3 linked regions of the Mus musculus genome follow. The protein of the gene in region 3 purifies or fractionates together with the protein of the main gene of each other region. This does not show direct contact. Links are inferred from orthologs where the notes say so. Each region holds a gene or a part of one and is shown on either strand. Other genes may lie near its edges.

Region 1 (4,137 bases), on a different chromosome or scaffold from region 3:
GCTCCTCACACTGTTTAAGGGACTGAGAGTCTGGGTTGGTTTTGTTGTTCTTGTTGTTGAAACAGGTCTCACTATATAGCGCTAGATATCCTGGAACTCACTGTATAGACCAAGTTGGCCTCAAACTCACAGAGAGCTGCCTGCCTATGCCTCCCAAGTGTTGGGATTAAAGGCATGGGTTACCATGCCCAGCTAGGACTGGGGTTCTAATTTCAGTATTATAAAACAAACAAACAAACAAACAAACAAACAAACCAAAACTAACCAATCAAAACACCTCAGACAATAAACCCTTAAAAGATATAAGGTGCTCTGTCCCATCTCCCTTCTCCAGCAGCCTGTGTCCCTTGCTAAGGAAGATACCAATATAAATTGGGCAGCTTGTTTCCCCTCTGGTCTTGGCTTGGTAGTATTTGCATCTTTTTTTGTATTCATCCTGGGGTTTACATACACAAGGTCCCATAAGCCTGAAGGCTGAGCGCTCCTAAAGTTTAAAGCCCTCCCTGTGAGCGTCTGCCCTTGTTGGGACCCTGGCCATAAACCCTAACCTTTAGGAGATACCTTCCCACCCCACCCCTCCCTGCTGACAGTCAGGGTATAGGAAGGAGGCCTAGGCCCATGATGACAGAGCTGCACAAGGTTGCTTTGTGGGGGCTCTCAGCTGTGATGATAGCATCTCCTTTGGACAAGGAGTCTATTGACTACTGTTCTTTGGGTCCTGAGGGCTGGCAAGCAGAATTCAAAAGTCATTGGCTTTGAAACTATTTAGGTCTGAATCCTGCAACTCACTAAGGGTAAGACCTGGGGGCAATTCCTCAAACTTCTTGGCCTCAGTTTCCTTGTCTGTGAAGTGGGGATAAAGATAGTGCCTGAGGAATGAGGCCCTGGTGACCTGTAACTCACAGGAGGCATGAAAATGACATTGTAGCAATGAGTCTGGCAGGCTGCGACACTCCATTAAATGACGGTGCCACTGCACACGATCATTATTAGACTGTGCCTAAGAATAATTCTGAGTAGAGGCAGCTGCTGGAGGAGGAAGGGTTGACCTGATAATGTGGATATTCACTGTGCGTGACTCTTGACCTGCCACACGTGTGCCTTACCTCTTGAGTCATGAATATTTACTGCCTTGCCCCTGTGCCTTTGTTGGCAGACTGTGGGAAGTGGGCCCTCCCCCACCCTGCCACCCTCCAGCTCCTCTTCCCTCGCTCTGAAAAGAGAAGTTCTAGTGAGTTCCCCTAAGGGGTCGGCCGCGCCCCTTCCTGTCTCCGCCCTGCTGGCTGCCCCAGGCCAGTAGAGTGGTAGCCCGGGGAGCAGGACTGCAGGTTGGCTTTGGAGGCCTGGGCTCTGAGAGCCTTGCCTGAGGCTCATCTCTAGAGTTTGTACGTGCCTGCCCAGACAAACTGTTCCCTCCACATTTTCTGCAGCCAATTCAGTGAGAACCCCAGGATGGTGAGGTAAGGGCCTGGGACCCATGGAGGATAGGAAACAAGGGTGGCTGGAGCCCTGGGGATATTCCCTCACTGCCCTGTGCACTTTTAGGTGGTTTCACCGGGACCTCAGCGGGCCTGATGCAGAGACCCTGCTGAAGGGCCGGGGAGTCCCTGGGAGCTTCCTGGCTCGGCCCAGCCGCAAGAACCAGGGTGACTTCTCCCTCTCAGTCAGGTGGGTGGCCCTCCCTGCACCTTGGCAGCTCATTGTGTGGGTCCGGAGCATTCCTGGGTTCCCTGGGTTGTGTTGTCTCCTCATGATACATTTCTTCCCTTCTGTCCCTGCCTGTCGCCCTAGCATGTGCCCATAACTGTCTATGTCTACTCCATGCCTATGTGCTTTTGCATCGAGACCCCTGTCCCCCCAAGCCCACCCCGCTGCTGCTCATGTATCTCACTACCTGGTGGTGCCTCGCAGGGTGGATGATCAGGTGACTCATATTCGGATCCAGAACTCAGGGGACTTCTATGACCTGTACGGAGGGGAGAAGTTTGCGACGCTGACAGAGCTGGTCGAGTATTACACGCAGCAGCAGGGCATCCTGCAGGACCGAGATGGCACCATCATCCACCTTAAGTACCCACTGAACTGCTCGGACCCCACCAGTGAGAGGTGAGGGGCATTGCAGGTTGGCCCTGTCCCTTGAGATAAGTGGACATCCAGACCAGGTGTCCTTCTGTTCCCAGTCCGTTCTTCATCCCTGATCTTCCACACCTGTTCTCTCAGTGTTCTCAGCCTCTTCCCTCTGTAGGCTGATGATTCCCATGTATCTAACCAATCCCCTGTCCCCTGAGGAAGCCAGAGAAGGGTTCCCCTTGCCTTCCTGCAGGGTTCCTGCTGCCTAGCAACCTCATCCTGAGAGTAACAGAGAGGCCACTCCTTGTCTCTGGTGTTTCTCATCAGGTCGGCCCTATTACTAGAAAGCTTGTCCTACCATGGAACTCTGGTGCCTTCTTCCAGCCCTCTACACAGCCTGGGGCTCTAGGTCCCTGTCTTAATAAGGTCTTAGAGGTCCACTGGTACTGGGGTACTCAGGGACTTCTCTCAGCATCACACTGAGGTGGGGCTGGACAGAGCTTGGTGAAAGCAAGGTCGCTGAGGTGGTCACAGGTAGAGAAGGGCCCAGGCTTATCTGACTTAAGGAGACCCTCAGGATATCCCCAACTAGTGCTGCAAAGACACGGCCCCCATAGCTGGGCTGGCTGTTCTCTTGTGGTCTTCTCAGAGCATGTGCAAAGGGAAGGTTATGGAGATAAATGTCCCTCATTCATTACACTGGGGCTCGTCTTAGCTGTATAGCACAGGGACTGACTGGCAACCCCTATTAACTCAGGGTTTTCTTATGGACTCTGGGGCTCTGCGTACCTGTTCCTGTCCTGTGTCTGTGTATTTACAGTTGAAATGATTCCGAACTTGATCCCCACACCCTTCTCTGCTGGGGCCTGAACCCGGGGCCTTGTCTGAGTTGAGTGAGCGCTTTGCCACTAGCTACCTTCCACGCAGTTTTAAAGTCTGTTTTGAGATTCGTGCCTACAAACTTAGCTCAATAGTTTTGTTCACAAGTTACTGACTAAAACTGAGGACTGAAGGTCTAGGGACTGTGGCTCAGGTGGTGAGTGCTTGCCTGCCATGCATTAAACACTGGGTTCTATTCCCTGTCGTGCATAAACCTAGTGTGAGTGACACGTGCCTGTGAGCCCAGGTGGAGGCAGGAAGACCAGAAGAAGGTCAAGTTTATCCTCCATTCCATAGCAAGTTTGAGGCCGGATAGGGCTCCATGAGACCTTGACTTAAACTAAAACAAGCGGAGTGGAGGTGGTACCATAGGCCTTTTATCCCAGCACTCAAAAGAGGCAGGGGAAGGTGGATGTCTGGAAGTTCAAGGCCAGCCTGGTCTATCAAGTAAGTTCCAGTACAGCCAGGGCTCCACAGAGAAACCTTGTCTTGAAAAACCAAAACCCCCAAACAAAACAACAAAAAAACTCCAACCCAAACAAACAAACAAACAACCAACCAAAAAAAACCCTCAAAACACAAAGAAAACCACAAACAAACAAACAAAGAAGCTGGAGGACACTCCCTAGAAGGCTTTCCTCTTCTGCTGGTGAGTGGGAAGGGAGGGCCTGCCCCAGGTTGTCTCTCCTCTCCTATCCTACCTGCAGCCCTCAGGATGGTTTGGCCTCTCTCTCAGATTCGCTTTGAGCCCCTTGTTTTCTCTTTGTTGCTGACTCAAGCCAGGATGCGCCCTGCTAGAGTAGACCATGGAGGTACAGCTGAATGGTGGCTGCAGTGTTCCCTGTGATCAGGAAGGAGGTGGGAGCTAAACAGGTGTTAGGAGAACAGGCCAGGGCAGTGGGGAAGCACAGGACACCCTGTGGATGATACCCTCTGACAGGGCTGCGGAGGACTCCAAGGGACACTTTGGATGGCCATTTGGGAAGAAGCTGTCTCATCCCTAACCTTAGTGTGTGTGGAAGCCATGACCCAATGGCTCCTCTCTTTGCCCCTCCTCTTCTGGGAAATTTGCATTTGTCCCCTCAATAGTGAACTCTCTGCCTGTGGTCTGTTCACATTTGCATGGAGACTTCCTCATCCTGTCCCTGAGGGAAGGAGCTGAGCCCCCTCACATTGCTTGGGGTCTCT
Region 2 (4,175 bases), on a different chromosome or scaffold from region 3:
CATGTCTCTACTTGGGTGTCTAATGGGCATCTCCAACATTACCTACCCCAAACAGAAAACCCTTTCTTCCCCCCACCACACCCCACCCTACCCCCACAGTATTTTCTCCATGCCCGGAAAGATCTGCTCTCTTATGGTCCCTCTTTGCCTCACTGAAAAGCAGGACAAGTTGGGGACTTCCCAAACTTTTATGCATGAAGAAACCCAGGCAATTTGCCAAAAGGTACACTCTGGGGGTCTGTCATTTACTCTGAGCCAGAACCCTGAAATTTTTACTAACCCATCACATAATGAATGAAGAGAATCTTTTTCTTTTTTTTTTTTTTTCTTTTTTTTTGGTTTTTCGAGACAGGGTTTCTCTGTATAGCCCTGGCTATCCTGGAACACACTCTGTAGACCAGGCTGGCCTCGAACTCAGAAATCCACCTGCCTCTGCCTCCCGAGTGCTGGGATTAAAGGCGTGCGCCACCACGCCTGGCTGAATGAAGAGAATCTTGACCTCATCTCCCCAGCCTCTTGGTCCTGAGGGACCCTGGTCTACCTACTGCTTTGCTGTCTTCTTAGCTCTTCTTACTTTTTTGCTGACTCAGACCTATGGCTATCTCCATTATACAGATGAGGAGACTGAGGCATGGATCCCTGGTTGGTCCATGGTCACGTGAAGCCCATCACCCAGTATTTGTAAAGTGAGATGGGCCAGGCTGGTACCTTGGAACTGAAACTCACACTGCCCTACCTGGAAGAATCTGACAGGCAAAATCTGCTGCTGAAAGTGATTGTCTGTCACGTTTCTCAGCTGCCCGACTCTGAGAACTCCACAGCCCCCTTTCGTTCCACCATACTACAGAGTCGCCACGGAAAGCCGGCTCTGTGGAGAAGCTGAGGTAGCTGGGTTTCTGTCTGGGTTACTCTGTCCAGCGAGGAAACAAGTACCTTAGACCCACTAAGCCTCTGCTTTCTGAACTGTAAAGTGGGGGATATGACACCTGCCTCCCAGGGATGGCTGAATGCTCTGGCAGAAGCTTAGAGCCCCCACAGCTACCCCTAGGCTCACAGCTCCTCCGATGAGACCTAGAATTGAGGTATGAGTTGAATACCCCAGGCAGGTCCAAGGCTTCCACGGGCCCAGGCTGACCAAGCTGAGGCCGCCCACCGTAGGGCTTGCCTATCTGCAGGCAGCTCACAAAGGAACAATAACAGGAAACCATCCCGAGGGGAAGTGGGCCAGGGCCAGTTGGAAAACCTGCCTCCCTCCCAGCCTGGGTGTGGCTCCCCTCTCCCCTCCTGAGGCAATCAACTGTGCTCTCCACAAAGCTCGGCCCTGGACAGACTGCAGTGGAGAGAGCCTTCTGCTCACGGACAAGGTAAGTGAGACTCCCAAATCCCTCTCTACTCCTGTCTCATGGAGATAAAACTGGGAGAGTCCTGGCTTGCCCGTATGGGATGGCCACTGTAGGACTCTCAAGGGAACACAGCCTCTCCGGAGCCTGAGTCTCTCTGCTGGGGCCAGGGTAGGGCTAAAAAAAATGCATATCTCTTAGTGTGCAAGGACACAAACGGTTATCTCAGAACCAATGTTCAAGAAAGACTCAGCAGCCTTGTAAGTAGACTGTCGTACTCAGGGAAACTCCAGTGACCTGGAGCTTCTATGACTACCAGGCTCAAAGAGGATAGGATTTCCACTGTCACTCAGCAAGGACAAGGGCAGAGGACTGGAGTCTGGACCTTGGATTTGAGTAGGATCTGCTTTGTGTGGGATGGACAAATAACGGCTCTGTGATTCCCTTCCCTATCTACCAGGATTAGCTCTGCCTTCTGCCCAAAGGACAATCTGGTCCAGAGCTAAAGAGATAGATTTCCCAAGGTCTGACTTATATTCCCCTGCCCCGTTATCTCTACCTACAACACCTCGAGGGACTAGGGTGGGATTTGGGGAGCTGAAAGGGGTACTCGTTCCCTCTGTCAATATCTCCCACTTTCAAGATGGGCCTTCTGAGGTTCAGCTCTGGGCACTTGGAGTCCCATTTATGAGCCCTCTTCCCTCATCTCCCCTAGACTCTCAGAGCCTGCTTTGTGTTTCGGCAGTTGCAGGCAGGAAGGTAGCCTGTAGTTTCTCCCCCAACACCAGATACTCAGAGCCCAGAGCTCAAGAATTCTTGTGGCCGTACAGCTCAGCAAAGTCTCTGGAAGGCCCTAGAGACAAGGACCTCTGAGCCAAAAGCCCAGCTCAGAGACAGTGACCCTCGGCACTGATCCCAGCCTACTCACTTCGGTGTGGCCTTGGGACGGTAACCTAAGGTCTCCAAACCTTCATTAGGAGAGGACATTTTTGGATGCAATTCTATTCACAATCTGTGGTGAGCGGTGGAGATGGTTCATGCAGAAAGAATATTCCGACAAAACAATGGCTCCTGGATTTACTATCCAGTCCCAAGGAGGTAGATAGGGTAACTCTGTACTCAGAGACAACAACAGAGATCCAGAGGAGAGTTAGTGTGAAAATTGAGTCAGAATGACGATGGGAACTTAGATTTAGTCCTCCTCAGCACGGGCTCTTCCTGGAACCTGTGACTACATGGGGTCTCTGGCTTCTAGACCATAAAGTTGTAGAAACATCTTCAGTCCTTACTTGTGATATACACTCTTGGCTCTGGGCTTAACTCCTAATGAGAGGCAGATAGATAGCCAGGGAATCCTGAGTGGATTTACCCACTACCCCATAGCCATAGGTGGCTGTGAATACCACAAAGATTTGAAACCACAAAGCACAAGTCTCACACCTCCTGTTAGGGGGTCTCACCCATGTGAAAGGAAGGGCCAGAGTAAGAGAGGCCATATACTTAGCTACCCCTGCTGCAAGCACCTCCGGGCATCTGCGTTCATTAGTTACCCCTGGAGGAATGTGGCAGGCAAGCAAGACTCTAATGACAGTGGATGACTTCAAGGTTGGAAGCTTGAAGGGTCTGGGAGGCTGGTGGGTTCTGGGTTCTTTAGAACTGGGTTGAATGCTGAGTCGCAGAGAGGATTTTGACAGCCCAGAACAATTAGTGGGCAAGAAAGACACAAAACTCTCCTGCATCTGGCCTGAGCCCAGCCATTTGCGGACTGGAAAGTACCAGGTGACCCCAAGGGGCCAGGGGCAGCTGATCCTCAGGGCAGTCCTTCAAATTCTAACTTTTCACAATTAGGAGCTAGAAGAAGTTCCCAGTACCTTGAAGGGGTTAACCTGCCTACCCCGTAGTCTCAGCCCGACCATTGTGCAGCTAAACAAGAACCGGACATAGAGCAGGAAGCCTGAAGGGCCACACTTTTTTTCTCCCAAAGTTAGATGAGTCACAGTTGCACGGGAACCTCGGAGACACCAGCCACCGTTCTAGCAAAAATCTCAACCCCTGGCTGAGTGGACCATTTCTGGTTGCTTCCATCACCTCCTTAGCACCCCCTCAGTTGACATGAATAATTCCCAAGTGACTGATGGGACCTCTGGAATCCAGAGAGGCTAGCCAGACATGTGGCCACATAGTATAAAGTGGGAAAGGGATAGGGCTGACCCCATAGCCATACTCTATATTGAAATTTAGAGAAGAGGCAATCATATACAATTTAGACCACCACAGCCAGTATAAGGATAAACTGGGAACTGCCCTAAGAGAATGGTTCTACTGTTGTTGGAGAAATATAAAAAGTTCATCATAACCCTGCTCTAAGTTGGCATTGAGAGGAGAAATTACAGAGAACTTCTTGAAGGAAGGGTGGGAACCTGGAATTCTGGGAAGACTCGCACAGCTCCCATAAACTCAGCCTTGGTCTCCCGTCTCTCTGCGTGTCAGAGGATGATTCTGACTGCCTGGCAGATGCACAGGCCAGGAGGGAGAAATGGGGCTCAGGGGTGGACAGATAGTGGTGAGTGATATTTACCCCTGGAGAAGAACAAGGAAATGGGAGGATGAGCCTACGGCAAGACCAGGAAATTAGGTCAGATGTGAGGCAGCCGGTGGAATGCACAGACCAGAGAGGAGGAGGTCAAGACACCTGCATATCTGGGAGCGCTGTCTGTGTATATTGGGGTTCACTGTGTATATTCTAGTCCTCCTGCCCAGGGATTCAGTGTTTGTTGCCTTTATTACAGATGCAGCCACTGAAGCCCAGAGAGGGCAAAGCACAGACCCAAGACC
Region 3 (3,645 bases):
TTTAAAAAATCCAAACCAAAGGGACATTTACAGGAACTTGGCATTTATGAGAACCACTGCTTTCATTTTCTTCTAGCAAAGCCTTTTATTGCTTTCGGTAGTGGGATGAAATCTTTGGTGGAAGCCACAGTGGGCAGTCAAGTCCGAATCCCTGTGAAGTATCTCAGTTACCCAGCTCCTGATATCAAATGGTAACTACTGGAAATAAAAGCAAAGCATTGATTCAAATGAGGTCAAATCCTTCTATTGCACTACCTCCTGGGATTGTCTCCCTTAGGTACAGAAATGGAAGGCCCATTGAGTCCAACTACACAATGATTGTTGGCGATGAACTCACCATCATGGAAGTGACTGAAAGAGATGCAGGAAACTACACGGTCATCCTCACCAACCCCATTTCAATGGAGAAACAGAGCCACATGGTCTCTCTGGTTGTGAATGGTGAGTCCATTCAGTGTCTCCTCTGCCAAAAGTTTGCTAGGGAAGAGAAAGAGTGCATCTTCATGCATCTCCCATCATTCTATTGTCTCCTGTTATGTCATCTGCATCATTAATGGGGCCAATGCATTAAGAAAATGAGAAATGACCCAGGGAGGTGGATTTGAAATGAGATGTGGTCTGGCATCCTGTGGGCCATGCTTCCTTGATAACTCATGTGAAGGTTCTGTTGGTGGTCACCTGCAAGGTGAGAGGAGATAGTACCCCCTAACCAAATGCCTCTGGGCTCACTCAAAGCTTTGTGAGCTCCTGTTGCTCCTGTCTACAAAGCTATATAGAATGAAGACTTAGGAGACCCTCCTCGTGTTTTGTGTGATGTTTTAGTCTGAAGATTTAGATGCTTGATACAGAACTCCACACAGGAGACCTGTGGAGTCCAGGATCACTGAATAACTTGCTGTCCACAGTCAGAGGTCATACTTAGAGTCTGTCCAGGAAAGCCAGGAAAGACTGTAAGCTTTTGATTTAAGAGTGTTTTAAACTTTACTTTCCCAGACTGAATGTTATAATTAAGTATTTGAGTTCAAGGTAGAAAGGTGCCACGGTCAGGTGAGTGTAGCAGGTACAGGACTGACTTAAAGTGTCTTTCTTACAGGACTTCCTTAGAATCTTCATAGGCTAATGGCTATTGTCTTCTCTGATGGGAGAGACAAGAGTATCTGGCATTTAGCTAGATTATTTGACTACAGCACTTTTCTCCCCCAGTAAATAGATTAATATTTTGCTCCAAACACAGAGGCATGCTGCTGGTGTAACTCTTTGTTCTTCTTACTGGCACCACACATTAAAACGTCAAGCAATTGTCTCAGTCCAGGAACGTACTGCCCACGCGTCTCGATCCTCCTCTGTGTATCTTCTGAGCATGGCTTCGTTTCTTTTTTCCTCTAGGGAGTATTTTTTAAAGATAACAGGTTCTGGGAAGGCTGCTTAGAAGCAGCATGGATAAAGGGGATGCAAGAGAGGGGAGGACGGCAGAAGCTGATTAAATACAGGGAAAAGAAGAAAATAATCGGGCAGCAAAGACAGAGAGGCAGACAGGGGGCAACCCCATCTCTCCACTTCACCAAGTCACCACTTTCAGTACACCCCAGCATTTCCCTTGCTGTGTGTGATACATACAGAAGCCAAGCTTCTGTTCCAAAGCCTGTGTCTACCTTTGTCCAGGATCTTGCTATATATGAACTGCTATATATGATGCCCTTGGGCAAATCTTTTAATATTTTCCCATTTCCTCTCATGTGTAAGGTGAAAGTCATAGCCATGATAACGAGAACTGAAAGTCAGCGTGGAGCACCTCAGCAAGACTGGGCATACAATAAATGTCTTTGCTGCATCATTCCAACTGCTTTCTCTCTGTACCTTCTCACCCCCTTCTTGCTGGGCTGTAGGGCATGGAGAACAACATCTCTCATGTAAGAGCGAGAGAGTGTCGCACAGGAATGTATAGCTGGCCTGAAGTCACTCGGCTTATCAGGGTTTTAGGGTTATGAGAGCCTAAGAGTTCGGGTCTTCTGTGTCCAAGTCTAGATGTCCTTCAGAAAAGCAAGCAGAAGCAAAATCATATGAGTACATAAGGCAGATCTGGTTGCTGAAATCCCCTCTATTCCTCAAAGCAATCGGGCAGTTCACAGGTTGTCTTTTCTATCTCCAGTCCCACCCCAGATCGGTGAGAAAGCCTTGATCTCGCCTATGGATTCCTACCAGTATGGGACCATGCAGACATTGACATGCACAGTCTACGCCAACCCTCCCCTGCACCACATCCAGTGGTACTGGCAGCTAGAAGAAGCCTGCTCCTACAGACCCGGGTGAGTGGGGCTGTGGGCTCTGTTTCACTTGCCATCGTGCGTCCCTTCTTGCCAAGCCATGCCAGGGTTCCGTCGAAACCCGGAAGGCTGTCTCCAAGGTTACCCCTTCAGTGGTACTTGGACTCATTCCCCCGTATCCCACTATGCGAGTCAGCTCTTTCTCCTTAGTTAGCCCTGGTGGATTCCTCTCCAAAGGGATACTACTTGCTGCGTTTGCTAGATGCCAATCATCGGATCATCTTCTGTCTGTGGACTGCAGAGGACCACACTGCTCCTCCTTATCTGTGGGAATGTCCATCTCTCAGAGGAAGTGCTGGTGGATGCGAGGCAGTGATAAACCTAGCCCAGGCCTCGAGAGTCTCAGGCCCAGGCTTATCAAGGTCTACCACAAGTGCAGACATCCTTAGGGAAAACAACAGCCACCACCTTCAACCTACCACCCCAAGCATTCCACTTCCTGTTGTTGTTTTTGAAATAGCAAACCCGAGTTTCTTCCTCTGCTGCTGGCCATTTCCTAAACAAAAGCCCGCAGTCGGTCCGTCCCAGAGAGGTGACTTTTAAGAAGCCCCAATGGCTTCCAAGTTTCCTTACCTTCCTTTGAACTAAGTGAGCTTGAATTGTCTTGTCGATCCAATTTATGAATGGAGACTTGTTCCCAGAATAGCTGCTTCCCTCCTGTATCCTCAGGACCTTCGCACTGTTGTGTATAGGCATCTATTTTTAATTGGCGCCAAGTTCTGCGAAGTGTTCGAGTGTGTCGAGGGTTATCACTAGGAACGTGATAACCAGAGGCTGACCCTTTCCGGCACTCCTGAACGAGAGAGAAGTCAAATCTTGACATGCTGCGCTTTCTCCCTCTTCCAGCCAAACAAGCCCGTATGCTTGTAAAGAATGGAGACACGTGGAGGATTTCCAGGGGGGAAACAAGATCGAAGTCACCAAAAACCAATATGCCCTGATTGAAGGAAAAAACAAAGTGAGCTTAAACTTTTTGAGTTTGATTCTCTCTCTAATTCTTATCTCTGAATAGAAGGCGGTACAATAACATGCAAAGGTATATCAAAGGTATATTGGAGGCTAATAATCGGTATGTGTGATGTCATCTATAACATCCAAGTTACAGAGTCAACCTAGGTAGATCAAGAAAGTGTGAGTTACACACACACACACACACACACACACACACACATACCCCTTCAATCTTAAAGAGGAACAAACTTATGCCATTTGCAGAAAGATGAGATCATCACATGAAGCAAAATAAGTTCGACTTAGCAATGCACATATGATTTTCCTACATACGAGTCAAGATAAAATAAAAGACATCGGAGGTAGAGAA

The links.
Region 1: the proteins of Kdr (region 3) and Ptpn6 purify together in Homo sapiens (affinity purification with western blotting; 3 studies listed by BioGRID and IntAct, with this or other methods). This does not show direct contact. The link is inferred for Mus musculus from reciprocal best matches to the Homo sapiens genes KDR and PTPN6.
Region 2: the proteins of Kdr (region 3) and Cdh5 purify together in Homo sapiens (affinity purification with western blotting; 3 studies listed by BioGRID and IntAct, with this or other methods). This does not show direct contact. The link is inferred for Mus musculus from reciprocal best matches to the Homo sapiens genes KDR and CDH5.

Annotation. Positions count from the first base shown.
Region 1 is NC_000072.6:124,730,269-124,734,405, reverse strand, and holds the start of Ptpn6 (tyrosine-protein phosphatase non-receptor type 6), read left to right. Parts: upstream 1-1,251; 5' UTR 1,252-1,452; coding exon 1,453-1,460; intron 1,461-1,545; coding exon 1,546-1,668; intron 1,669-1,911; coding exon 1,912-2,106; intron 2,107-4,137. UniProt on the Homo sapiens protein: Tyrosine phosphatase enzyme that plays important roles in controlling immune signaling pathways and fundamental physiological processes such as hematopoiesis.
Region 2 is NC_000074.6:104,100,369-104,104,543, forward strand, and holds the start of Cdh5 (cadherin-5 preproprotein), read left to right. Parts: upstream 1-1,256; 5' UTR 1,257-1,364; intron 1,365-4,175. UniProt on the Homo sapiens protein: Cadherins are calcium-dependent cell adhesion proteins. They preferentially interact with themselves in a homophilic manner in connecting cells; cadherins may thus contribute to the sorting of heterogeneous cell types.
Region 3 is NC_000071.6:75,961,371-75,965,015, reverse strand, and holds part of Kdr (vascular endothelial growth factor receptor 2 isoform 1 precursor), read left to right. Parts: intron 1-76; coding exon 77-191; intron 192-277; coding exon 278-441; intron 442-2,149; coding exon 2,150-2,306; intron 2,307-3,170; coding exon 3,171-3,282; intron 3,283-3,645. UniProt on the Homo sapiens protein: Tyrosine-protein kinase that acts as a cell-surface receptor for VEGFA, VEGFC and VEGFD. Plays an essential role in the regulation of angiogenesis, vascular development, vascular permeability, and embryonic hematopoiesis.